Callithrix jacchus: one gene and its partners. The protein of the gene in region 3 purifies or fractionates together with the protein of the main gene of each other region. This does not show direct contact. Links are inferred from orthologs where the notes say so. Each region holds a gene or a part of one and is shown on either strand. Other genes may lie near its edges.

Region 1 (6,379 bases), on a different chromosome or scaffold from region 3:
GGAAAAAGGTAAAGTCAAAAATGACCCTTAGGTTTCAAGCTCTACTGCCAAACGGCAGTAATATTGACCAAAACAGGAGAATGAGGGTGAAGCTGGTCTGGGAGCTGAATACCCTATGCCTGCACGGTAGGATGTTGAAGTCAGGAGGTCAGGGTTGGAAACATGGTTGAAGTCATATGCAGGTGGCTCTCAGAAGCAGAGTGAGCATATGGCAATGCAGGGTAAGAAAAGGCAATGAAAGAGGGTTCATGACAGAGCTTAGGAGGACTCTGACTCTTCGGAGATTGGGAAGAGGGCCTAAGGGAGACAGAAACAGCAGTAGAAGAGGACAAAAAGAGAGCCAAGAAGATGTGAACAGCATAGAAGGCAGGAGTTCCAAGAAAGTGGGAGGATTAACGGAGCCAAATGTTCTACCAAAATAAAAGGTATAGAGACTAAGAAAAGGACAGAGAATATTTATTGAGGTCATCAAATACTTTTGAGAAGAAATTTCAGACATGTAGTAGGAAAAGAAGGAGATAAAGTTAACAAGGTCTACAGAAATGAAGACGGCATATGTACAACAATTCCGGTAAGTCTGTGCAAAGTGGGCACAAAGCTAAAAGAGACTTTTTCTCTTAGGAGTGTGAGATCTAGCCTTCATTTTTCCACTAAGTAACCATGTGCTCTTGAATAAGCTGAGCCAGAAGGTGGCAGCAGCAGAGAGAGAGGCACACACAGGAAGCAAGGGAATAGATAAACCAAGAAAGGGCTTACATGAGGTGGGAGGAGATAGAATCAGTGCACAGCCAGGAAAATGGTCCTAGAAACAAAATGAAAGGTCATGTTTTCCCTCTGAAATGAGGGACAAAGGAAAGAGAACCTGAAAATGACATTAGATGACTGCAGGCTTTCTAAGTAAAGGGTAAGCTCGCCTTAGATCTGGAGGCAAAAAAAGCTGGATGAGGCAATTCTGAGAACAGGATGAGTCCTAAAGCAGTTGCTGCAAAAATTCCATAGGAGCTTAACAAGGAAGAATAAACAGCTGCCCAACAACAAGCGCTAATATCATCACAGTGAGTATGGTGCCAGGTTGAAGCCCTGAACTTGACAGGGGGAGAAGGAATTTTTTAAAAAAGAATTGGTAGGAACAAGATAGACTGCATCCTTTTAATCAAATTTCTAAAGTAGAGCAAGACACCTAAAGGTAGCCAACCAGCCAAACATGAACAAAGCATCTCACACAGTAACTACAGGTCTCAAAGTGTCTTTCAGTTAACGCGCACATCTGAACATCCAAAGTGTCCATTTCATGCTTACTTGGAGTATTCTAGTAGCTTTTTGCTTGTAGTCAATTAATTCCTGCTTAGAGGACTCCAAGTTCAACTTATATAGCTTGACTTGCTGCTGCAGTTCCTCAACTCTCTTCTTCTCATCTGAATATTTTCTTTCTGCCAGCGTAATTGCTTCTGCTAAATTCTGACGTTCCACTTCCACTTTATTAAGGCGCGCAGCAAACTCACTCTGTGACAAATTTTTATATTGTAATCATTGAGCTTTGAAACATATTTTACAACCATACATTCAGATATCTTAAGGCATTTATCAGCTAAGCCCAACAACATAATAGGGAGGGGAAAAAATTCTTAATTTGTTAGGAGCTAAAGAATAGGAAATCTAAGGTTGTGGCTCCCAAACACGGCAATGCATCAAAATCAAGTAGGAAGTTTGTTAAAAATACAGCCATCCAAGGCCTTTCCCAAGCTTACTAAATTGGAATATTCAAGATTGGCTTGGGAATCCGTTTATTAAGAAATTTCAAAAAAAAAAGAAATTTCCCAGGTGAATATGGTCTCTTGGATACTAGGTCTGCTCTGATACTAGCTGATCAACTGCTTCCAATTTAATAAGTAAATAAATAAGTGTAAATTACACCACATTTTAAATAATCAGTATCCAAAAAAATAATGTAAAATATCTCATTAACAACTTTTCATTTGACTACACGTTGAAATGATAACTACTTTGGATACACTGTGTTAGATAAAATACATCATTAAAATTAAGAAACACACACTACCTGATATTTACTGTCAGGACTGAACTACTTTCACCTGTTGAAAAGCTAGCCCAGACCAGTGGTTTGCAACCCTGACTGCTCATTAGAGACACCTGTGAATCTTGTAAAACCAAAGTGCCAATACCTAGGCCCTACCTCATACAATGGAATGTGACTATTTGCATATGAAGACCAGGCAGTACCACACGGGTGATTCCCATGTGTAGACAGGGCTGAGACTGAACTAGATGCAAAAATTCATCTAAAAGTAAAACTCTTTACATATTACATATAATTTTCTCTTGAAATAAATGAGCCAGATTAATCTGGAATCAGAAAAAGCTTAAATTAATAAAAACCAAATACGGTCCCCCAACCATTAGCATTTAATCAAATAATGGCAATGACTGTTGCAAAAATTAAGTGAAAGATGTATATCTCTAATGCATATTAACTATTTTAATTGTCTCTCAACACATAAAATTAAATAAACTTAGCAAGGATCAAGCTAAATTTTCAAATATCTGATTTTTGTCATGGAAACAAAATTTTCTGACATGTATTGCAGAACTGTATGAAGGAGTTAATGTGCTATGAAACAGCATAAAGTCATTTCTTCCTTGTACAAATAACAATAGGAATCCCTTATCGCCCATTCTAACCTGCATCTGTTTATAGCTCTCCTGCTCTCTCTTCAGAGTGGCATCGGCTTCATGCAGTCTCTCCTGAAGAGTTTGCAGAGCTTGATTCTGCAAGTTATTACCTTCACTTTGATCCTGTATTATTCTAAAGGAAAATGCATCCACGTGAAAAAAAAACATGTCTACAGTGTACAAGTGATAAGGCAGAATAATTTTTAGAGCATTACCTCATTAGTCAAGCACAAAAAAGATGATGTGACTGAAACATTCTTAGACAAATCTTTCCTTTCTAATGGAATGTAATCTATATTTTTAGGCACCCAAATATACGTACACACAGTATAATAAAAAATGGCCACGCATGGTGGCTCATGCCTGTAATCCCAGCACTTTGGGAGGCCAAGATGGGCAGATCGCCTTAAGTCAGGAGCTTGAGACCAGCCTGGCCAACATGGTGAAACCCCATCTCTTAAAAAAAAAAAAAAATTAAAAATAAAATAAAATAAGATTAATGACAATACAAATGCATTTAAATTCAGAATTTGCTAACAATGCATCTCAAGGTTCAACAATGAATCCATTTTGATCATACACATTTCTAACACTACCAAAAGAAATATTCCCCCTTGCAAATTTCCAAGAAAGCTAAGTTTTATAAGAGGAAACATTACAATGCTTACCATTACTTGCAGTGGAAACACAGAATCATTCTATCTCATTTTTTTTTTCATTATTCACAGAATCACGTACCGTGATTTTTCACTCTGTAAGGCTTCTAATGCTTCCGTGCGAGTACTCAGCAGCTGGTCAGCTTCCTGGAGTCTCACTTTCAGTACAGCCAGCTGGGAATCCTTTGCAGCCATAGCTTCAGTCAGGTCATCAACTTGGGCTTGAAGTTCTCGAGTTATTCGATCACTCTTTGAATGGTCGGTGTTCCACTTTTCAACTCTTGCTCTTGCTTTGTTTAATTCTGTAAAAAACTTAAATTTCTCTATACAAGGAAACCAAACACATTTTTCTTGGAGCACATATAGTTTCTACTATGAGTGCCATTAGTACTTTTCTTACTGCCAAAGTTAGGAGCTTACATGTATCTTCAATTTTCTTTGCCCCAGTGGGTCATCCATTTTTCAAAGCCAATATTCACACCTAGATTACAGTTAATAGATTATAAAGAGGCATGAAGCTAGCTGCTCTTCTACAATGCTGTTTATATATCATAAAGCATCTGGGAGCCAAAACTAGTATTAATAGATAGCAGAGTATGTTCTGGAAAGTTCTGCTAGTAACAGGGGAAAGAATGCAAATCTAAATCAAAGGTATATCCCAGTAAGAACAAAACAAGCAAAACAAAACCTAAAGATAAACACAGAAAAGAATCTACTTCTTTCAATTACGTTGCAAAAAGATGCTATTCTTTTGACCTAGGAAATCAATGCAAAAAGAGAAAAGTAGTACTTTATCTCAGAATCCAATGGCATTTCCACACTTTCACATACCATGTGTAATTGCAGTTAGCCACCAAAATTTTTTTAAAATATTGAATCAAACTTTATAGGGTCTCAATTTTTTTTTTTTTTCAGTGAGACAGACCTTTTTGGGGGGGGGGCGAGCGAGCGCACCTCACTCTGTTGCCTAGGCTGGAGTGCAATGGCATGATCATGACCCATGACTCACTACAACCTCCAACTCCTGGGCTCAAGCAATCCGCCCACCTCAGTCTCCAAAGCAGCTCAGACTACAGGTGCATACCAGCACACTCAGCTAATTAAAAAAAAAAATTTGTTTTTTGCAGCAAGGGGGTCTCACTCTGTTGCCCATGCTGTTAATGAACTCCTGACCTCAAGCAACTTTCTAATCTCAGCCTTCCAAAGTGCTGGGATTACAGGCGTGAGACACTGTGCCTGGCCAAACAGCTCTATTTCTATGTCTAAATTAGTCTGGGTAAAGCAAAGCTTTTTCTAAAGTCAGCCCGACTAGTGAGTCTTAAACTATCTACCTATTCTGCTCTTCTGAGCTTCTATCCATGGCTTGGCAAAACTTTTCCCACCCTCCCCCAACTCCTTTCTAATTAGCCCCAGAAACCAAGGCAGCAATTTTGTCACTTGTTTTCTTCTCAGCCACAGTCACAATAACATTTACACTTTTCTCAGTCACCACCTCAGTAATGAGATTATTTCCTTCTTAATTATCTATTTCTGAGGAACCTGAGGTTTTCTACTCCAGGGCCACCTCACTGCACATTTCTCAAGAGCACTGTACTGAATTCCATCTACATTTTATGCACCCTAGAGCAGCAATACTGCAACCCTATTAGTGCCTACTATTTTGTTCAATGGAACAGTTTCCCTTGAAAGTTCAGAATAAGTAAATGAACTAGACTACTACTACTGTTTATTCCTCTCAGTTCTTAAATGTCATGGTTCTTAAAGAATAACCAAAGAAGCCAATACTCTTATGTTTTGGGTTGGTGGGAGGATGACTGATCCCATTTCCAAATCTGGGCCCTGTATTTCTATGAAAATATCATTTTACAAGTCTCATCTAATTTCTCACAGTTTAAATGTAAACACTGCTAACAGTTTAGTTTTTTAAAAGTTAAATTCCCTAATCCTGCACAATTTAAATAAGCCTCTACCTTCTTGAGTTTCTTTGGATCTTTGAAGTAACGAGGCCATTTCTTGATTTAAAGACTGAACTTCATTCCTCAGCAGCTGATTCTCCAGTCGAAGGTTAGATAGTTCATGTGATTTGCCATCATCATTAGGTGCTGGGGTGTGCTCAGTGCAGGCAGCATTTGATGATGCATTTTCCTTTGAATGTTCCTCTTGACCTTCATGGCTAGAATCTGAGTTATTGGCAGCTTCTGCTAAAAAAGAACATGTTTTTGTTACATTGGCATGTTCACCACATATGCATTAATAACTTGCTTTGGTAGGATGCTCAAGTTGACTGCTATAGCTGAAATACCATAAAACGTAAACAAATTCTCAGCTCAGCATGGTGGCTCATGCCTGTCATCCCAGCGCTCTGGGAAGCCGAGGCAGGCAGATCACCTGAGGTCAGAAGTTTGAGATCAGCCTAGCCAACATGGTGAAACACCATCTCTACCAAAAATACAAAAATTAGCCAGGCATGGTGGCACTAATCTGTAGTGCCAGCTACTTGGGAGTCTGAGGCAGGAGAATTGCTTGAACCTGGGAGGCCAAAGTTGTTGCAGTGAGCCAAGATTGCACCACAGCACTCCAGCTTGGGTGACAGAGCAAGACTCAGTGTCAAAAAAAAAAAAAAAGTAAATTCTCAATAGCTTCCCTCTGATGACATTTCATTCTCATAAATGGAGCATATGGACCTCTGAGGATCGTCAAGAGGTCCTTACACTGAATGAATGGCAACAGAGAGTACAACACAGTTTTGTGGAGAACACCAGAGATCACTTGAATGGTTAGGTTCAGGTAAATAATTCTGGATTTCCTTTTGTCTCCATAATGTTTTTGGAAAAATAACTGGGAGAAGTCCCAAACACTGAAAAATTGAGAAGGCACAACAGAACAGCTGCAGGTTTCAAGGCAAGAAGAGTAATAACAGGTCACTGCAATGTTTTTTTTAATTTTGTTTTAACAAACTGGAATCTAAAATGTCTTACCCAAAGAGACAGAGACTCATGAATTCAGATTAATCTTGTTTTTGTTATTAAATA
Region 2 (6,379 bases), on a different chromosome or scaffold from region 3:
CTTCCCCCTCATCATTTGCGTGCCCACCTGAAAGCTGAACACCCCTAAGGGTTAGTTTTTGGGTCTCCATGAGGTCACTTTATCATGAGTGGGGCACTCAGTAAAAATATACACGTGGTTCTGCTCAGAGCAAGGTCTGAAGTCCCACTTGGTAGCCTCAATAAAATGGCAGAAGGATAAAAATACCAATTTCATGCCAAGTACAGTAAGTTGATAAAATAATCTCTGTGCATTTTAAACAGCAGAAAGATCTCTATAAGCAACAAGGGTTCATCAGCTGTAACTCTCTCCCTTCTGTTAGGGTGACACATTTATGTCTTAAGCAAACAGCTTTCCAACTTGGGTAAGGACCAAACCCCAAACTTGCAACTCACATGAAGTTACAACTTTAATTCTTGAGAAATGAGAAAAGCCCAAACCTAAACAGAAGCCTGCCAGGCGTATTTTGAAAGATTTAAAAAAATAACAAAGATACAGGTGTCCTCAACATTCCCGCAGAGCAGCCTGAAGCAGGGACGGTTTAACAACACGGTGACACGCGTGGCTCTTCCCATCTACAAATGGTAGCCTGCAGGAGCCTGTGCCTTCGTCACTCTGGTTTGAAGGCCTGCTATCGTGACTGTGCAGTTCAAATGGCCCCTGCATAGGTACAGCCCAAACTCTGCCCGTCGGAGTTAAGCACCGTTTTATTTTTTTGAGACAGGGTCTCACTTTGTCACCCAGGTTGGAGTGCAGTGGTATGACGTGGCTCACTGCAGCCTCAACCTCCCAGGCTCAGGTGATCCTCCCCCGTCAGTCTCCCAAGTAGCTGGGACTGCCGCATGTCCCGCCATCCCTGGCTAACCTTTTATATATATATTTTTTTGTGGAGATGGGATTTTGCCATGCTGCCCAAGCGTGGTCTCGTCCATTTTCAGTTAGACTGCACAGCAGAGTGACTTTTCAACTTACAAACACAAGTAACAAAACCCTGCCCCAGGTACACGTGGCACTCTTGTGCCCATCTATTGACCCCAACAAGCTCAAAAACCTTTCTTGTTACAGTGTAGTCACCAACAAATATTGAAAGTTGGCCCACAAGACGAAACTGGTTTATTCTCCTAAGGAGCGCTCCCAGCCCTATTCATATTAGATTCCAGGCCATGTAAATTATAAACCCCCTTAACAGTCTCAGGAGAGACCATAAAATTTTAGGCACAGGATGTCACATGTAACCCATGAGGCACAAGAGAATCAGAATGGGAGCCAGCAGTTCACACATCTCCAGGGACAAGTCCCAGAAGCAAAACACAGAAGAGCTGGCTTAGGCTAAAAACCAGCGGCTCTCCGCTCCCCAGGATCAAAGCTATCCTCTCCTCAAATCACTCACGGAGTCTTTCTATGTGCTTTCCCCAGCGGCCCGAGATTCAGGTCAAACCACCACCCATTTGTTCATAACCTAGGCTGAGCGGGGGAGGAGACTGTGTGCACCACTCCCCTGCCTTCTGAGGGACTTCAAGCAGTAAAACCTTTCCAGAATAGGAAGGAGGTGGGCTATCCCACAGTTGGCAGTTCTGCAAAACATGTTTTGTGGGGGCCTGGGACTAGATATGAGACAAAAAAGAGTTTCAGGCTCCAAGAAGTTTGGCAATGCTGGGTTAATGGAAGGGTAAATGAATGCAGGACTTCTCAGAGCCTTTCACACAGCAGCGCTGCAGAGCTCCAGAGCTCACAGCTTTTGGCTTTGTTTGTACGCCTTGCAGAACCTCTCAATAGTCTGTGCGCCTCCAGGGACGTCACATGCAAATGACTAGCTAGCAAAATATGCAGACTGCTCACCTCACTCGCAACGGAGGGCAGGCACTTGGCTATCGAAGCTTTCGGTCCCCCAAATGCTCTCATCTCTCCTGTAAGGCTACAGAAACAGACCAATGGAAACACAGTAAACCCTGTAGAGACGGGAAAGCGGGTGCAGTAAAGAAGCAGAAGAAACGGAAATAAATGTTAACGTTTTTCCTTGTCTAGTATCAATCTGAACACTTGATCCTCATCCACTTGGCCAGCTGAAAGCACTCTTAAAGGGCAAGAGACATTGATACCTGCTCCCAGAGCTGTCTGCAGGAAGACGTGTTAGACTGGGAATGAAGATGAAGCACATCCTGAGGTTTTCTGATCTCTGCCTTCAGCTGATTCACGCCTTCCTTGGCCCATGCTTAAAACGCACCACACTCCTAACCTCCCACAGTTCTGCGCATTTCTCATCCGCTCGGGCAGCCCAGAGCCCTCCTAAAGGGCAAGCGACACAGATACTAGCTCTAGGAGTCAGTGCACCCTAAAAGGGACGCCATCAGGGTATGAACAGCTCAGAGTCGAGGAGCCCTGACGCCCTGAGGAGCCTGGAGGGTATTTCATCTAACCCTGTGGCCAAGGGGGATGAACGAGGAAACAGGTCTATTTTTTCAAGAATTTGCCCAGCAGCGTGAAACTACTTAGCAGCAGAAAACTGGGGCGAGACCTGGCGTGGGAGTTGGGGGGAGACCTCCACTGCCTTCTCAGGGGTCCACACAGTGCCTCAAGATAAAGTCAGAGAACAATCACAAATTCTGTAGCGATCACTTTTTCTTTGCTGAGAAATAAACAGATTTGGGGAGCTGAGTACATCAGTAATACAAGATAGTGAGATCAGAAAAAAAGAAAGAAAGAAAGCCAAAGGAAAAGAATGCACCAATTACAGAGTAACATTTATAAAGAGCTTCACACCTATTTTCACTCTTGGTTGCCTGTAACCTTTTAGAATTCAAGGTTTCCAATGAGGAAAGCTGGAATTATTCAGAAGCAACGTTCACCTGCTATGGAGAATGGCGCCCTGCTGGGAAGTTGCCACAGCTCACGTGACGGTCCAGGGAGCTGCGTGGCCCCCGTCACTGACTCACTCCCTCACCCACCCACCCACCCACGCTCCTGGGAGTCTCTGTGCTCTCACTCATAAAACAAACACACCTGACTTTGCTGGTGATTCCCAGATGTGGCTGATGCCCAGAATTCCAAGAACCAGTTAAAATACAGTTTCTGGGCTGTATTTTAACGGCCCATCCCTGCTCCTCGTGGTTCTGGATTCCATAATTCTGAGGGGGCTCAGGAATCAGTATTCTTAAAAGCTGAGCCAGGTCTGGGGAGGCTTGGACTAGGTGATCTAAGATATATAGCCCTTTGAGGCCGCAAGCTTCACTACAAAAAATTCTGAGTAACCCAAGTGCCAGCTACTCTCAGGGGGACGGTGAGCAAGGACCCAACGAGGAATGGCAACATGGGACAAAGACCTGCAAAGGTACAAGGGGGTTACTCACTGCCTGGGCCCAGGGTTAGTTATTCGAGCAAGATTATGTGAAGTTATAGATAGTATTTAATTGGTTACTGTGATATCATAGAAATACCAAGAATCATAAAAGTAAAAAAAGCTGCTAAGTTGTACGTAATGTTTCCGGAATTCTAAGAAGTCGCTGCTGGTCTACAGGGGCCTGGGAGGTGACGACGGGGTCACTGGCCCCGATCCTGGGGCCTCTTGCCTTTGCCTTTTTTCTTCTTGTCCTCCGGCCGCGGCTCTAGGGCGCAGACACAGGCGGATCCGCCGGCGATGGCCTTGGGCAGGTCGACGCCCCTGCTCCACTTGTCAGCCTCGCGGTCGTACACCTGCACGGTCTTGGAGAAGGCAGTGTTCTCCCAGCTGTAGCCGCCCAGGATGTAGATGCGGCCCTCCCACACTGCCACGCCCGACTCGCTGTTGGCGTGCAGCAGCGGTGCCACGCGGGTCCACTGGTTGCACTGCGGGCTGTAGGCCTCCACGCCCAGCACGTCGAAGCGTTCCATGGACTCGATGTTGTCGTCACTGCCCCCGATGGAATAGATGCTGTCGCCCAGGCTGCACATGCTGTGCCAGCCACGTGCCGTGGTCATGGGCCGCCGCTCCTCCCACACGTCCGTCCGGTGGTCGTAGCACAGCAGGTTCTTGCGGTAGGGGCCGATTTGGTAGTCGTGGCCCCCTGAGATGTACACAAAGTCTTTGTAGATGGTGCCTGCGTGGCCGTATGTGAACCTGGAGAGTCGATGGGCACAGAGAGAGAGAGAGAGGGAGAGCTCAGGGCTGTGCCAGGCTTACCCTCCCTGAGCCTGGGAACGGCCTGCCATCTTAGGGGGCCATGAGAATTTAAGAATACTGGGAGTGGGTACCCCATGAATACTTCCTAGACAGCAGCTGTCATTAGCCAAGAAATGGCAGGTAAGGGCAGGGAAGGAGACAGCTTTGCAGTCAGGCCACCTGGGCCAGAACCCAGCTCCACCCTCTCTGAGTCTCCCTCACCCCATCTGGGAAATGGGGATAGTCACAGGACCACCACCCACTTCACAATGGCTGGAAATGATGAGGACAACGTGCTAGCAGGCCCACAGGCACCCGATGAATCACACATCAGAGAGGGAATCTGACATACGGCATAATTCTAACTGTGCTGGCGCTCGGGAAAAGTTTCGCCTAAACCATAGAGACAGCAAAATCAGTGGCTGCCAGGGGCTGTGGGGAGAGGGAAGGTAGGCTTGGATGCGGATTGCACGGGGGGCGTTTAGGGCAGTGAAATGATTCTCCATGATGGTATAATGGTGGATTCATGTTGCTCTGCGTTCCTCAAAACCCACAAAACTGTGCCAGGAAGTGGGAACCATCATGCAAACCAGTGAGTAAGAATGGATCAATAAGGCCAGATGCAGGGGCTCACGCCCGTCATCCCAGCACTTTAGGAGGCCAAGGTGGGCAGATCACTTGAGGTCAGGAGTTTGAGACCAGCCTGACAAACATGGTGAAACCCCGTCTCTACTAAAAATACAAAAATTAGCTGGGCATGGTCGTGTGCACCTGTAGGCCCAGCTACTCGAGAGGCAGAGGCAGGAGAATGGCTTGAGCCTGAAAGGCGGAGACTGCAGTGAGCAGAGATCGTGCCACTGCATTCTGGCCTGGATGACAGAGTGAGACTCCATCTCAAAAAATAGAAAAACAAAAACGTGAGCGCTTACCCCGCACACCTCTACCTCTTGGGATGTATTCCACAGCAAAGACTGGTTCAAAAAGCCCGCTGCTGGGTACGGCAACAGGGAGCTGGTGGGAAAAATGGTGTGCAGCTTTTGCTAATCCCACGACAATAACAAATGCTCGATACGTGCACATCTGGACCAAGGGAGACTGGGAGGGCGAGGGTCGCCCTGGGGCACTCCCTGCATGTGGGTGCAGGTTCACCAGCGGCACCGCATCTGCTCTGCACGGCAGTGCTGCGAAGCGGGCACGATGATCACCTCGCTCTACAGATGAGGAACTGAAGACCCACGCTTGCATTTCAGACCTAGCACAGATACCGCCATCTCTTTGAGTTCCTCCTGGGCAACCTCAGGGAGATCCTCAGGTCAGTCCCTCACCCTCTGAAAGTCGGTGAAGGTACAGACTCAGGCCACGGAGAAATGCATGTCTGTCGTGGTGGCAGAGCTGACCCTTGCCCTGAGTCTGAAACCGGAGCCTGGACTGCGCACCACCATGCCCTCTGCCCCTCCTCATGTACCTGCTGCTACCCACAAGCTGGAAGATTTCTTTCCTGGAACTGGAGGCCAACCTGCCCAGAATGTGAGGCACGTGGACTGAACTATGTCCCTAAAACCATCCCGCTTGGAGAGCCTTCCCCCAAGCCCCAGATCACCTTGGCAAGCCGGCCACATAGGACCAGGAGTCAGTCTTGGGACTGTACGTCTCTACTGAAGACAGTGCTCCGTTCTCATTCCGGCCACCGACGGCCACAAGCATGTCTTCGATGGAGGCAAGGTAGAAATCCACGCGGCGCTGGTTCATGAAGGCCACCTGTGGAAGTGAGACACCTGTACCTTCCCTTCCCCGAACACAAAACAGCATCAACATCTGGAGCTGCATTTCCCAAATGTGTCTGCGGAACACACAGCCCCGGAGGGTGAGATGGCAGCCAGGTGAGTTTGGCAAAGGGAAATGCACCTGAAGAAAAGGCCTTTTTCAGGTGGCCCCTCTGAGCCCCTGAGGTTGCCCTGAGACACCCTGAATCTAAAAGGGGGATGGAGATGCTCTGGATCTCCAAAACTTGTCTGGTCACGTGATCCGCCTTGTGGATGGGAACTCTGTGGGTCACGGGGTTCAGAACGGCTGATCTAGTGGTTTTCTGAAATAAAAATTCATCCTTCGCTTCCTGAATCAGATTTTTAAAATTAGTCCTGACCGCCAAAGCAGAGCAGGACATGGCATTCCACAGGAGATTAAACAGAAGAGGCCAGGCACGGTGGCTCACACCTGTAATCCCAGCACTTCGGGAGGGTAAGGTGAGCGGATCTTATAGGTCAG
Region 3 (6,379 bases):
CAAGGATGCCCTCTCTCACCAATCCTATTCAACATAGTATTGGTTGTTCTGGCCAGGGTAATCAGACAAGGGAAAGAAATAAAGGATATCTAATTAGGAAAAGAGGAGGTCAAATTGTCTCTATTTGCAGATTACATGATTGTATATTTAGAAAACTCCATCATCTCAGCTCAAAATCTCAAGATGATGAGCAACTTCAGCAAAGTCTCAGGATACAAAATCAATGTGCAAAAATCACATTTTCAACTTAGATTTGTTCTCTGAAAGACAGATTGGCAAATGTTTTCAGTAAAGAGTTAGTAAACATGTTAGGCTTTAAGGTCCCTAACAATAACTCCATTGTTGTAGCGCAAAATCAGCTGCAGTAATATGTAAATCTATGGACATGGATATATGCCAATACAATTTTATTTACAAAATACAGATGGTGGGTTATATTTGGCTCAGGAGCAATATTGTTGTCTCCTGCTCTATTGTGCAGTTGAAGATAGGAGGCTTTTACCAAATAATGATGAGGACAAGTATTACAATTCTTCGGTGCAGATGAAGTGTAGTGGGTGATAGTTTGTTCCTCAGTTGATTCTCTGTCACAAGAATGAATGCTGCTAACTTGGCAGAGGCTGTGCTGTTACTTGAAACTGATTCTACTACTGCCCATATAACCTATCAAGCACTGATAATTTACCACTCTATCTCTCTTCCTGGACATTTCTGTTCACTTCTTCTATTCCCAGGTAGAGTATTTTCGGCAATTGTCAACCTCTCTTGCTATTATGTTTTTAGTCTGTGTTTATGGACTACATTTATAGACGAAGGTTTTTAGGCAGCGTTTTGGAATTTATAAAAATGTCTTAAACATTTGAAATTGATCTGGCTTCCAAATTGTTGTCGCTTTATTTAGTTTTAATCTCTTCAGAAACTAAATTTATTTATTTACTTTTGGCTCTGTGAAACGTGTGCCCAAGAAGTGAATTCTTATGTTCAATGAGTTCATGGTCTTGGGGTTAAACTACAAACAAAAATGAAAACATCTAATAGTGTAAAATACTTGTTTAGTTATATGATCTTACTCTTCAAATATTTTAGTTCATTCATTCATTTAACCAACAAGTTTAAACATTGATCATATGAAGGTAAGATAAACCAAGTCATTCTCAAGGCAATGACTTACTTTCTCCTAGACTTATATGTTACTGTGAACATTTTAATGTTAATTACAATACTTCCCCTGTATTCCTACAGCCACCCCAGACAGACCAAGAAGTGGGAGACAGTAAGAAAAATAAGACAATAAGAAAAGAAAGCTTATTTTATTTATAATATCGTTAAGTATTCATTATTTTCTTTGCTCGTATTAGAAAGGAGTTCTTAATGCATGCAAATGCCCATTTTAACTCCCTTTTTAATAAATATTATATAAAGTTTGGCTAGGGTTGTTATTATACAATATCTATAGTATATTTATATATATTCAAAGTATTTATAACATTGCACTTACAATTTGTCTACATTAGATGCTGATTTTTTCAAAACAGAAAATATGAACTTCAGGTAGTCTGATCAGAATTTTTAAGTGTAAACTTTGCCGAAGGATATCTTACGTAAATTGGTGAAGATTGGTGACTTGGTATGCAAAAAACATACAGTAGTAGCCAAAGGTATTACCTTTTATTTTGATATTTTTGTGTATTTTTTCTGCAAAGAATAGAAATGTATAGAAGTAATATAGTAGTTTCTTTAAAAGTTTGGGGGGAGATTCATGGTTAACACTATTTAAAAATTTTTTTCTTTATAAAATGTTGAGTGTTTTTACTATAATAATATCTCTAAGATTGGATATACTCCTTTTCTATCTGTATGGAAAAAGCAAATGGAAGAAGAAATCAATGTTTATTGTGGGAACTGAGTTAAGAGAGACATAGCTACCAGCTTTTACACAACTAATAAGTTGTAATGCTAGAACACAACTCCAAATTTGTCAGATGAAAATCCACGCTCTTATCTGTATGTCACTTGTTACTATGCCAACAAATTTTATCTTTAGTTTAATAAATGTAAACCTTTTTTTTCTGGATAATTCATGTCTTACAAATCACAATTTTTTATATATCAGGTTGTTTTCTTCCAGTGAATACTATCTAGAAAATTTACTTATTTCAGTTTTTCAATGGCTATATTTATTAACGTATTCAACTAATATTTATTGACTTGTGGGGAAAAATAATATAAATTAAACAGACACAACCCCAAATCTCCTGAATTATTTTCATATCAAAACCTTGTTGGTCTCTTTAGTCACTGTGATCGCTTCTCAGCCTTTTCACTAAGATCAAGTGTACTATCTGTTTTCATCAGTTTAAAATAATCACTGTGGGAAGTTTTTCACCTATTCTAGAGATGTGTCTATCACTGAAAATATTTTGGGAATGCATCTCTTTCACAATTTTCTAAACAGTTTTCTCTTAATTGTCGCCAAATCCTAAATGAGAAGTGTTTGCTCTTAGGGTATGTATTTTAATGTTAGAAACAACTAAACATCATCACAGCCTAAAGGCAACAAATTAGTTACATAGTAAGTTAAAAATTTTTCTTTCTATTGGGATATCCAATATTCTGTCTTTCTCACTAAGATTATAGATTGAAATATGAAAGCTGTTTTCTTTGACTTTTAATGTAAATCTAAAAGCAGTTCTCTTAAGAAATTCTATTTTGTTCCAGAAATAAAGGGCAGAGTTCTTGGGCTACCATTTCGGAAGCTTCCTGATCCAGCTTTGAAAACTCACATGTTTATTCACTTTTAACACAGACAGTGTCGCTGGTCTGTAGACATGTGTTGTATACTTACTTGGTCTGTGTCTGAGTGGGGAGAAGGATAGGAGATGTAACATACAAATAGGAAAAGGGAAAAAAAGTCCCAACGTGTTTGCAGTGTTTTTCTTGAGCTGTTAAGAGACTGATCACATACATAATGTACATTTTTACCATTTCTCATCTCATTTATACTTTTCCTTATGTTTAGGTATGACCTCACTCCATTTTATTCAACATTCCTGATCTTTTCTGTTGTAATGATGTTGGGTCATTTAATTTCTTCATTACGTATTGCTATTTGATATACCTTTCTTTCTATTAAATATAAGATCCTTAAAAACATGCTCTGTACATTTCATTGATTATTGTATCACATAAAGCCCAATCACAATAAATTCAAATGGATTGGGTGTGATGGCTTATGCAATATAATCCCAGCACTTTGGGAGGCCAAGGCAGGATCTAGCTTGAGCTTGTAAGTTCGAGACCTGCCTGGGCAACATAGTGAGACCTCATCTATACAAAAAAAAAAAAAAAAAAAAAGGAAAACTAAAATTAGCTGGGTGTGGTAGTACACACCTGTAGCTACTTGTGGGACTGAGGCAAGAGGATCTCTGGGTAAGGTACAGGCTGCAGTGAGTTCTGATTGTGCCATGGCACTCCAGCCCGGGTCACAGAGAGAGACCCTGTCTCCAAAATTAAAATAAACTAGATTAAATTTTGTAAAAAGAACAATTAATATCAAATGAGTAAATAATGAATATTTGAACAGAAGAGGTTGTATATAAAACAAATTTACAGAGTTGTTATGCAATTGGGTATACAATTCTACAAGGAACAAAATCAGGGATATATAGGAAAAGATCTATCTGCTTTAGTTGGGGAGGAAAATAGAAAGAATTAAGAAAAAGAGTCATAAAAGTTTAGTTACTAATGAACAGATATTCATTATGCATTGGAGTATATCTGAGAGTTTTGCAAGAAGGAGGAAGTTAGCTAAGAAGATTGTATTTGAAGCTCATATGTGCTTTGCAATTCTTATACTTACAAGAATATTAAGCTCTGAAAAGCTAAAGACAATTATATGTTTTATACTCTGTAGAAAGATTTTCTATAATAAAAATGAACAAAAAAGAATAATTTGGTATTTTAAATATTTTTCATAATCAAATACGGTCATATTTCAACTTATAATTTTACAGATACCTACAGAATATTGGACATACGGATTCAGAATCCATAAGGCTTTATCACCTGGAATCAAGGATTTATTTGGTACCTTCTTGGTCGTCATATCAAGTAACATTGTTTCAAAAAACAGAATTAACATATTTGCCATAAAGGAGTTTTTTGTTTTTTCTTTGATAATACTTCCTATACTTTCCAATGCCTAAAAACAGCAAGGTGGTAAAAAGAGAATTAGATGATGATGTTACTGAGTCTGTCAAAGACCTTCTTTCCAATGAAGACTCAGCTGAGGATGCTTTTAAGACAAGCGAATTAATTGTTGATGGCCAAGAAGAGAAAGATACAGATGTCGAAGAAGGATCTGAAGTCGAAGATGAAAGACCAGCTTGGAACAGTAAACTACAGTACATCCTGGCCCAAGTTGGATTTTCCGTAGGTTTAGGAAATGTGTGGCGATTTCCATACCTATGTCAGAAGAATGGGGGCGGTAAGTTATTTTTTTAAGTGATAAATTACTGTAGTAAACTGCAACTGGGTGTCTCAAATAGCTCCTATTATTGCTGTAGTCTCATTATTTTTGAAACTTTCAATTCCGTTGTAAAACTAGGGAAACTTCTTTGTGAGAAGTGAGCCCAGATATGTTTTTGGATTAGGTTTCCATAGGAGCAGATGGGCTTGCTGTGAATACTCAGGGATTCCTTAAGGGTAACACATTCTCAGATTCTTTCTCTGGAAGCTATAAACATCTCTGAATTACTGACTGGAACTTTTCTAACAAATATTGCATCATTTATGCCTGTCAGTTATTCCCTTTGAAGAATAACCTAAAGCTTCTGATAGATGACAATACTGGTGAAGGAAAACAGAGAATTTTCTCTCCATGATTTTTTACTTCTTAATTTTAAATTGCCTCACTCTTCAAAAAATAAAAAAGATATGTAATCAAGAATAATTATGATTGTCAAATGCTGATGAGAACATTTAGATCCCAGTAGAAAGAATATAAACAGATAATATAATGCTAGACATTCTTCATCCTTAGGCATTTTATATATTTCATTTCCAGTTCTATGATATTTTGGGACAATGTTCAGTTTCAAAGAAAATTTTAAAGAATTAGCAACTTTAATTTTAAACAAAATTATCTATAACATCATTGATATTCTTGCTATTAATATTTGCATTTGTGAATGTAATTATAAAGGCTTACTTAGCAAAAATTATCTTAGAAGTCTATGGAAAAAACTTTACAAAGGAGAAAATTGCTCATATATGATGATAGTTTTATAGTACACCAAAATCAAACTGAATTTAACTAACATTGGGTTAAAATGTTATTATCTATATATATGAGATATTATTTATGTCTATGTATATGCTGTTAAAATAAGTGTGGCTGAAAATGAGATATTCCATAAGTCATGCATTTCAGGGCACAAAGTATATAAATAATATTTTGGTATTTGATTCTAGTTTGTGATAGTTTTATTGACTGGATAAAAATATGGTTTATTTTTAATTTAGTTGTAATCTACAAACCCTACATCAAACAATATAATCCATGCATATGTAAATTTTTTGTTGGCCACTGAAACATGAAACACTAAGATGTTATGGTGACAAAATATGTTTAAGATATTTTTCATTTAATACAAACAGGCACAAAACAAAAGGTTTGGAAAAAGGTTTGCCCATTTGGCAAATCTGCTTGAGAGATAAAGATTGATAAATAGAGTCAGTGATGCACTATGCATCCCTATACTGAAAAGCTCCTTGGCTAGCTGGTAATGTCACATATGAATTATTTATCAAATCAGCTGTAAGCAACTATGTACTATCCTGCTTTTTGTTCTCACACATCATTCCATTTGCCAAGGCAAGCAGAAGATAAATTCTGGTTTTGAGACTTTTTGACCTTGTAAATTTTATTGGCCACACTGTTAAGAAGGATGGCTGATTTGGTTGAAAAGTCAGATTGACTTCCACTTAGTACAACTTCTATTTTGGTTGAGAATGCTAAAAGACTTTATATTTAGTAATTGGTTCTTAGCAAAAATGGCTCCTCCTTCTTATTTCCGTATGTTAAAAAAGTCAAAATATCTTTTCTAGTATTATTTATTTTCTTCAAAATGGAAATACGAGAAAGTAGTACTGTACATACTATAAAATACAAATTGATTTTTCATTTCAGAATGGTTATTATAGTACCAAAAATTGTACTCAACATACAGTATAGTATTGGGTCTTCTAGCTGTTGGAGGAATATCTTCTGACTAAGCAACCAGAAGATAGTCCTCGGCCTCAGGCTATAAAAATCGTATTCATGAATCATTTAAGCACTTTCTGAATAATAGAAAAAAGGTATTAGAGTCAATATAAG
Region 4 (5,600 bases), on a different chromosome or scaffold from region 3:
ACAGTGGCTCATGGCTGTAATCCCAGCACTTGGGAGGCTGAAGTTGGTGGATCACTTGAGTTTAAGAGTTCGAGACCAGCCTGGGCAACATGGTGAAGCCCCGTCTCTACAAAAAGAATACAAAAATTAGCTGGGTGTTGTAGTGTGCACCTGTAGTCTCAGCTACTCCAGAGGTTGAAGTATGAGAATCCTTGAAACCAGGAGGTCGAGGCTGCAGTAAGCCGAGATTATGCCACTGCGCTGCAGCCTGGGTGACAGAGCAAGACCCTGTCTCAAAAATTAAATAAATAAAAAAAATAAAATTTGTTATGCTAATTAACAAAGCTTGGGAAATCAATGAGCAATAAAGATAAAGATAGCTGAAGCCATTCGTGGCACCTGTGAAAGGCAGCCTTCTGATTAAATGCTGGCTGACTACTGTGGAGTATGAATTCTTGACCAACAAGGTCTATGACTTGAATTCCATACACCTTGGAGTATGAAACTGACTAGCCTTAAGGTATAGGTTAAGACTAAACATTTGTATCACACTATCTACACTGGAATATATTAAACAAAATGACAGACATCATAACATCATAAAACTATATAAAACTACCTTGGTCCACAAATGTCCTAGCAACCTACAGTTTTAAGTGCAATGGGTTCCTTTTCCTTATTCATTTTTCAAAAACTCTTTACTCACCCTTTATCTTACCTGACACCCAGATTTCCTGCTCCTACTCTGAAGTCAGTGTCTGTAGTCTCAGACACAGAGGAAGGGAAAAAAGCTTTGAGAGACAAAAAACCTAGAGGAGTCAGCCAAGTACAGACTTTCCATCAGATTGGCTGAATAAAATGATCCTCAGAATTGCCACTTTCCTTTTATCAGGCCATAAGCAATTGTACAATAAAAATCACTTTTAATTACCTAGCCTCTTAAAAAAAAAAGAAAGTGGCCTCATGGCCCTTCTAGATATATTTGTCATGTACTTATTGGATATGAATTAACATATCTAGATTGCTTTTTTCATAGATTGAGCGAAAATATAATTTTATGATCTTAAGCTGGCTCTTATATATGGTTACTGCCTTCCTTAAGAACTAAGATCTACTGCCATTGCAAAGGGGAGTTGGGTAAAACTTTCAAGTCTCTAGGGGTAGCAAGTCACAGTTTAGGTGATTAGCACAGCATGAGGTTTACTGGGTGCTTGGGAACTGTACAAACTGTACAAAAATGTAAAAAAAAAGTTTAAAAATGGTGTCAGATCGCTCAAGACTTAAATTTTTGCCTGTTTTGGGCTTGGATCTCGTGAAAGGAGAAAAGCCTTTCTTATCTCTCCCTCCTTTCCTTAGTTCTCACTGTTCAGAATTCAGGTAAGTGCTGTTAATAGAAGAAGCTCATTTGGATAAAAGAGGCTTATGTGGACAATTCTGTGGACCTAACAACAATTTATAATCTTGTTTCTTGAAAACCTTCCACAACTGACCCCCTGGATTATCTGTGGATCACAGTCCATTTTTAAGTTGAGGACTGATTGCTGTGTCTCAGATTTGACTCTAGAAGCCAGAACATTGCAGTGGTCTCAGGCAGGTGTCTCTATGGAGGTCAAGTTCTGTCCTCATGTCATTGAGTTCACTGGCTAACCTATGATCATCCATCATCATCAGAAAGCATTTGGTAAACATGCATGCTTGACTGGGTTAAAATTAAACAGTCACAGTATAAAGTAAGCAAGTTCTCAGCTCATGCTCTCCTTGGAGTTAAAATCTAAAACATTAGATTAATAGGCAGATAGTGACCTCTGATAGTCCAGTCTACTCCCAGCAACTCCAGTTTGTTATTTCTTGGGGTGTAATCCAAAGAAGGAAAAGCATACAGAGTTCTTATACCCAGGCAGGCATGTGTTTTCCTACTCTGGAGAGAGTTCAAAGATATACAGGCTCTGAATGAAGGAATACTGCTTACATAGGCACGCACTTCTCATTGAATGCAATTTATGATTTTGTTGTTTGTTTTATTCTGAGTCTGTTTATGGAATATAAAAGATTATAGATACTGGAAATATGTTTTGAATGAAAATACAACTTGTTAAACATAGATAAGGTTAGATTAGAAAAATGATTTTTTAAAAATGATTATTTATCTTTAAGAAATTTACCCACACATATACAGTACCCTTACCATTTCTTCTGCATATATTTTCAGTTTTCCTATGGTTTTCCAGTAAGACATAGGTAGATAAATACCAGTATTTTGTTTTCCTGAGGGAACAAAATAGAGAAATAATCCATTTTAATAATCTTTGTTTCAATCCAAATATATACATATATATTTTTTGAGATGGAGTTTCACTGTTGTTGCCCAGGCTGTAGTGCAATGACGTGGTTTTGGCTCATTGTAACTTCTGCCTCCCAGGTTCAAGCAATTCTCCTGCCTCAGCCTCCCAAGTAGCTGGGATTACAAGCATGTGCCACTATGCCCAGCTAATTCTGTATTTTTAGTAGAGATGAGGTTTCACCATATTGGCCAGGCTGGTCTTGAACTCCTGATCTCAGGCAATTCACCCACCTTGGCCTCCCAAAGTGCTAGGATTACAGATGTGAGCCACTGCGCCTGGCCAATCCAAATATTTAATACAGCACCCCTTAACTTCTGAAGAGAAACTGAGTTGGAGATATTGTTACTTATTTTAACCAAACATCAGAGAGATTGTTCCTTTAATGTACGTTTAGCAAGTGGTAGGGCAGAGACTGAAACCTGGGTCTTCCTGTTTCCAAATCCAGTATTCTTTCTCTTATTTCATCCCAGCTGCTTCAGTGTCATGGCATCATGCTGCATGTGACTATTAGGTTAACTCTTTGAAATCACCGCTGTAAAGTATCTTTTATGTATTTGTCTTTCTGTTTGCAGGGATGGAGGGCTAAAGAGAGCAAAGGTGAAGGACACCTTCAAGGAAGAGCAGCAGAAAAATTATAGCAAGATGATTGTGGGCAATGGATCTCTCAACTGAGTGGACGGATGACAGCCTGTAGATATACCTGGCTTTCTAGAACTAGCCGTTAGAAATGGAATGGCTTTATTTTTTTGTTTTGTTTTATTGTTTTGTTTTTATTATTGTTAATCTTTTCTACAGAATGATTGTCTCTACCTCTTTATGCCAGAGGCAGAACCTACAGGTGCCCTTTTTGACTTTTGTTATTGTTATAACATTAGCCCCATGGATTATAAGGTGGTTTACTGAGTTAAAACAGATTCTGCTTTTATAAAATCATAGCGTCACTGTTGACTGAATGAAATATTTGTACAGGAAAAAGTGTGTGTAAGGTGTGTTTGGAACTCATCGATAGGGTAATTCTCAAAAAATGCCCAAACTTTCTTTCTCTACTTAGCCTTGCCACTTTCCTCAGTCACTTAACTGGTGAGATTACACATCAGTGCAAGATGACCATTATGGTTATGGTCTACTTACTGTCAGGCAGAAAGGAAAAATGGAGGATTATATTTAGGAAAAGGGATAACTCTGTGGCCACCTGCTCCGAAAGTCAAAAGGAAGTGTAAATTAGTGTTATAAGCGTGTTGGAAGAGAATACTATTCAGTAAGCGTTGCCAAAGAAAAGTGAGTCAAAATTAATGTGTGTGTGCATTTATATGTAGGCAGCTCATAGACACATTTTAGCCAGCAACTGACAACAAAGCGCTTACTTTTCCTCGTTTGAATGCTGTAGATCTGTACCTAGTTCTCTCCCATATACTGATTTGTTTGTTTTTGTAACCAAACACATTTTCAGATAGAAAGAGCCTTAAAAAAAAAATCACATCGAGTATCTTAAGTATGAATGAATGAGAGTGTGTGGAGCTGCCCCTCACCCTCCACCCGTTTGTGGTTTATTCCCAAATTTTCCCAGTCTCTTCAACAGAAAAAATGACTGATGTTATAATTACCTTTTGGAAACTGAGCCTTAATTTTTTTTTTTAGAGGGGGAAATAAGTTTTTCCCAACTCACACAGCATAAGCAATGTTTGACAGCAATATGATGCCGCTGTAAACTCCTGAGAGTATTATATCTGTTCTGGTAACTGTATACAGAACGTGAAACTGTCTTCTTGTGACTGTAAATAAATTCTATATTTCTAAAGGCATGTTGCATTATTTCCCCCCTCCCTCCTCCCTTTTCTGGTTTTGAGTAAGTTAAATTCATTCTTATTACAGACAGGGGTTGTTTGATTTTCATTTCAGTGGCATAGTTAGATTTTATTGGACTGGAACAAATGGGAAACAAGAACATGAGCCATGGACTCCCCTACCTCCCCCTGCTTAAATCTTGTTTTTTTAGCCGAGTTATTTGGACTCTGGCCCTGTGAACTCCACCTTGAGCAAAGTCACAGACTACAGTTATTTTGCAGGTGAATTCAAGCAATTATATCTAACTATCTAGGTAGGCCTGGCATAGCACTATCAGTGTATACTCTTCTTATCTAGCTAGCTAGTTGGATTTCATTCCAAAAGGAAACTTGCAAACAGGTTACTCTCCTGGTCATTCACCCCTCTGTTCTCACTCTCCTCACTTTCCCTTTGTTGTTTGTTTAAATTTTGCCCCACAAACTCTTATTTGGAGTGATCTTGACTGAAATTTAGCAAATCCAAATATGTATGTTGGGTGACTTTTTGTCTTATTTATTTTTCTCAGAAAAAGGAGGGCCTTTAAAAAAATTTTTTTAAATGTTAATTGTGGCTTGAACTAATAAATCTATTTCATTAGCCCAGTTCTCAGAAAAGTGTATCTTTCCAAGAGCACTGTAAAAATGCCAGTGCCTGGGCCTTGCTCTGATTTGGTCTTCAGCAGTGTGCAGGCCCGCTCTGCCCCGCTGGCCTCAGCCTTTCTCTTTCATCATTGTTCACCTCACCTTCATCCACCTTCTTCCCTTGTCCCCGAACCTAAAAAAACCAAAAAACAAACACAGAATGCTATCATGTATTCGCTAGATAACCTAATAGTGTCTCAGTCAGAGCTTTTCTCTCGTAGGTCTGAATCACACAAGTAGTTTCCAGGTTGCTTAAGGAACTGCCATGTTGTTGAAGCCATGTTTTTGGGAAGCTGTTATTGCTCAGATTTAGCATATGCTCCTTAGAACTCCTTTTACGTTTGCTTTCCCTAATATTATTCTATACCCACTTCAGAGATATTGTGTCCAGAATTTAGTATTCCTGAGTCTTCCGTAATTATAAGGCAATATGAAGGGAAGGCAGAATTTGGTAGAAAAATCTCATTGGGTAAGTAAGAACTTTCATCTAACCCTTGCATATGTTCATGAATTGAGCCTTGAGGTTGCCCTGTTTTTATTTCAATTGTTTGTTATGCGGTCATATTTATAGACAGCAGCTTCTAGGAATGCCAAGGGTTTCTAAAATACCATGCCACATACTGAGATTGGATGAGCAGCCATGTGTGAAACAGTAAATATACTCAGAGCGCAGGGGAAATAGTTTCGGGTGCCACTCTGGGGCAAAGAACAGTCTCAGCGGAAGTTTCCTTGTGTCAACAGACTTTCCAAGGTGTAGTTACCTTTGTCTTGGTGATTTGCATGATCTCAGTGCATATGTTGCAGTTTGCACATT

Evidence for each region.
Region 1: the proteins of SLC6A15 (region 3) and GOLGA5 purify together in Homo sapiens (co-immunoprecipitation; 3 studies listed by BioGRID and IntAct, counting the BioPlex papers as one, with this or other methods). This does not show direct contact. The link is inferred for Callithrix jacchus from reciprocal best matches to the Homo sapiens genes SLC6A15 and GOLGA5.
Region 2: the proteins of SLC6A15 (region 3) and KLHL36 purify together in Homo sapiens (co-immunoprecipitation; 3 studies listed by BioGRID and IntAct, counting the BioPlex papers as one, with this or other methods). This does not show direct contact. The link is inferred for Callithrix jacchus from reciprocal best matches to the Homo sapiens genes SLC6A15 and KLHL36.
Region 4: the proteins of SLC6A15 (region 3) and GPAT3 purify together in Homo sapiens (co-immunoprecipitation; 3 studies listed by BioGRID and IntAct, counting the BioPlex papers as one, with this or other methods). This does not show direct contact. The link is inferred for Callithrix jacchus from reciprocal best matches to the Homo sapiens genes SLC6A15 and GPAT3.

Annotation. Positions count from the first base shown.
Region 1 is NC_133509.1:127,640,650-127,647,028, reverse strand, and holds part of GOLGA5 (golgin subfamily A member 5), read right to left. Parts: intron 5,549-6,379; coding exon 5,318-5,548; intron 3,650-5,317; coding exon 3,430-3,649; intron 2,825-3,429; coding exon 2,701-2,824; intron 1,504-2,700; coding exon 1,300-1,503; intron 1-1,299. UniProt on the Homo sapiens protein: Involved in maintaining Golgi structure. Stimulates the formation of Golgi stacks and ribbons. Involved in intra-Golgi retrograde transport.
Region 2 is NC_133521.1:42,325,966-42,332,344, reverse strand, and holds part of KLHL36 (kelch-like protein 36), read right to left. Parts: intron 5,873-6,379; coding exon 5,715-5,872; intron 4,073-5,714; coding exon 3,517-4,072; 3' UTR 1-3,516.
Region 3 is NC_133510.1:87,576,626-87,583,004, reverse strand, and holds part of SLC6A15 (sodium-dependent neutral amino acid transporter B(0)AT2), read left to right. Parts: intron 1-2,303; exon of another isoform or gene 2,304-2,457; intron 2,458-4,013; 5' UTR 4,014-4,197; coding exon 4,198-4,486; intron 4,487-6,379.
Region 4 is NC_133504.1:114,169,883-114,175,482, reverse strand, and holds the end of GPAT3 (glycerol-3-phosphate acyltransferase 3), read left to right. Parts: intron 1-2,893; coding exon 2,894-2,993; 3' UTR 2,994-4,119; downstream 4,120-5,600. UniProt on the Homo sapiens protein: Converts glycerol-3-phosphate to 1-acyl-sn-glycerol-3-phosphate (lysophosphatidic acid or LPA) by incorporating an acyl moiety at the sn-1 position of the glycerol backbone.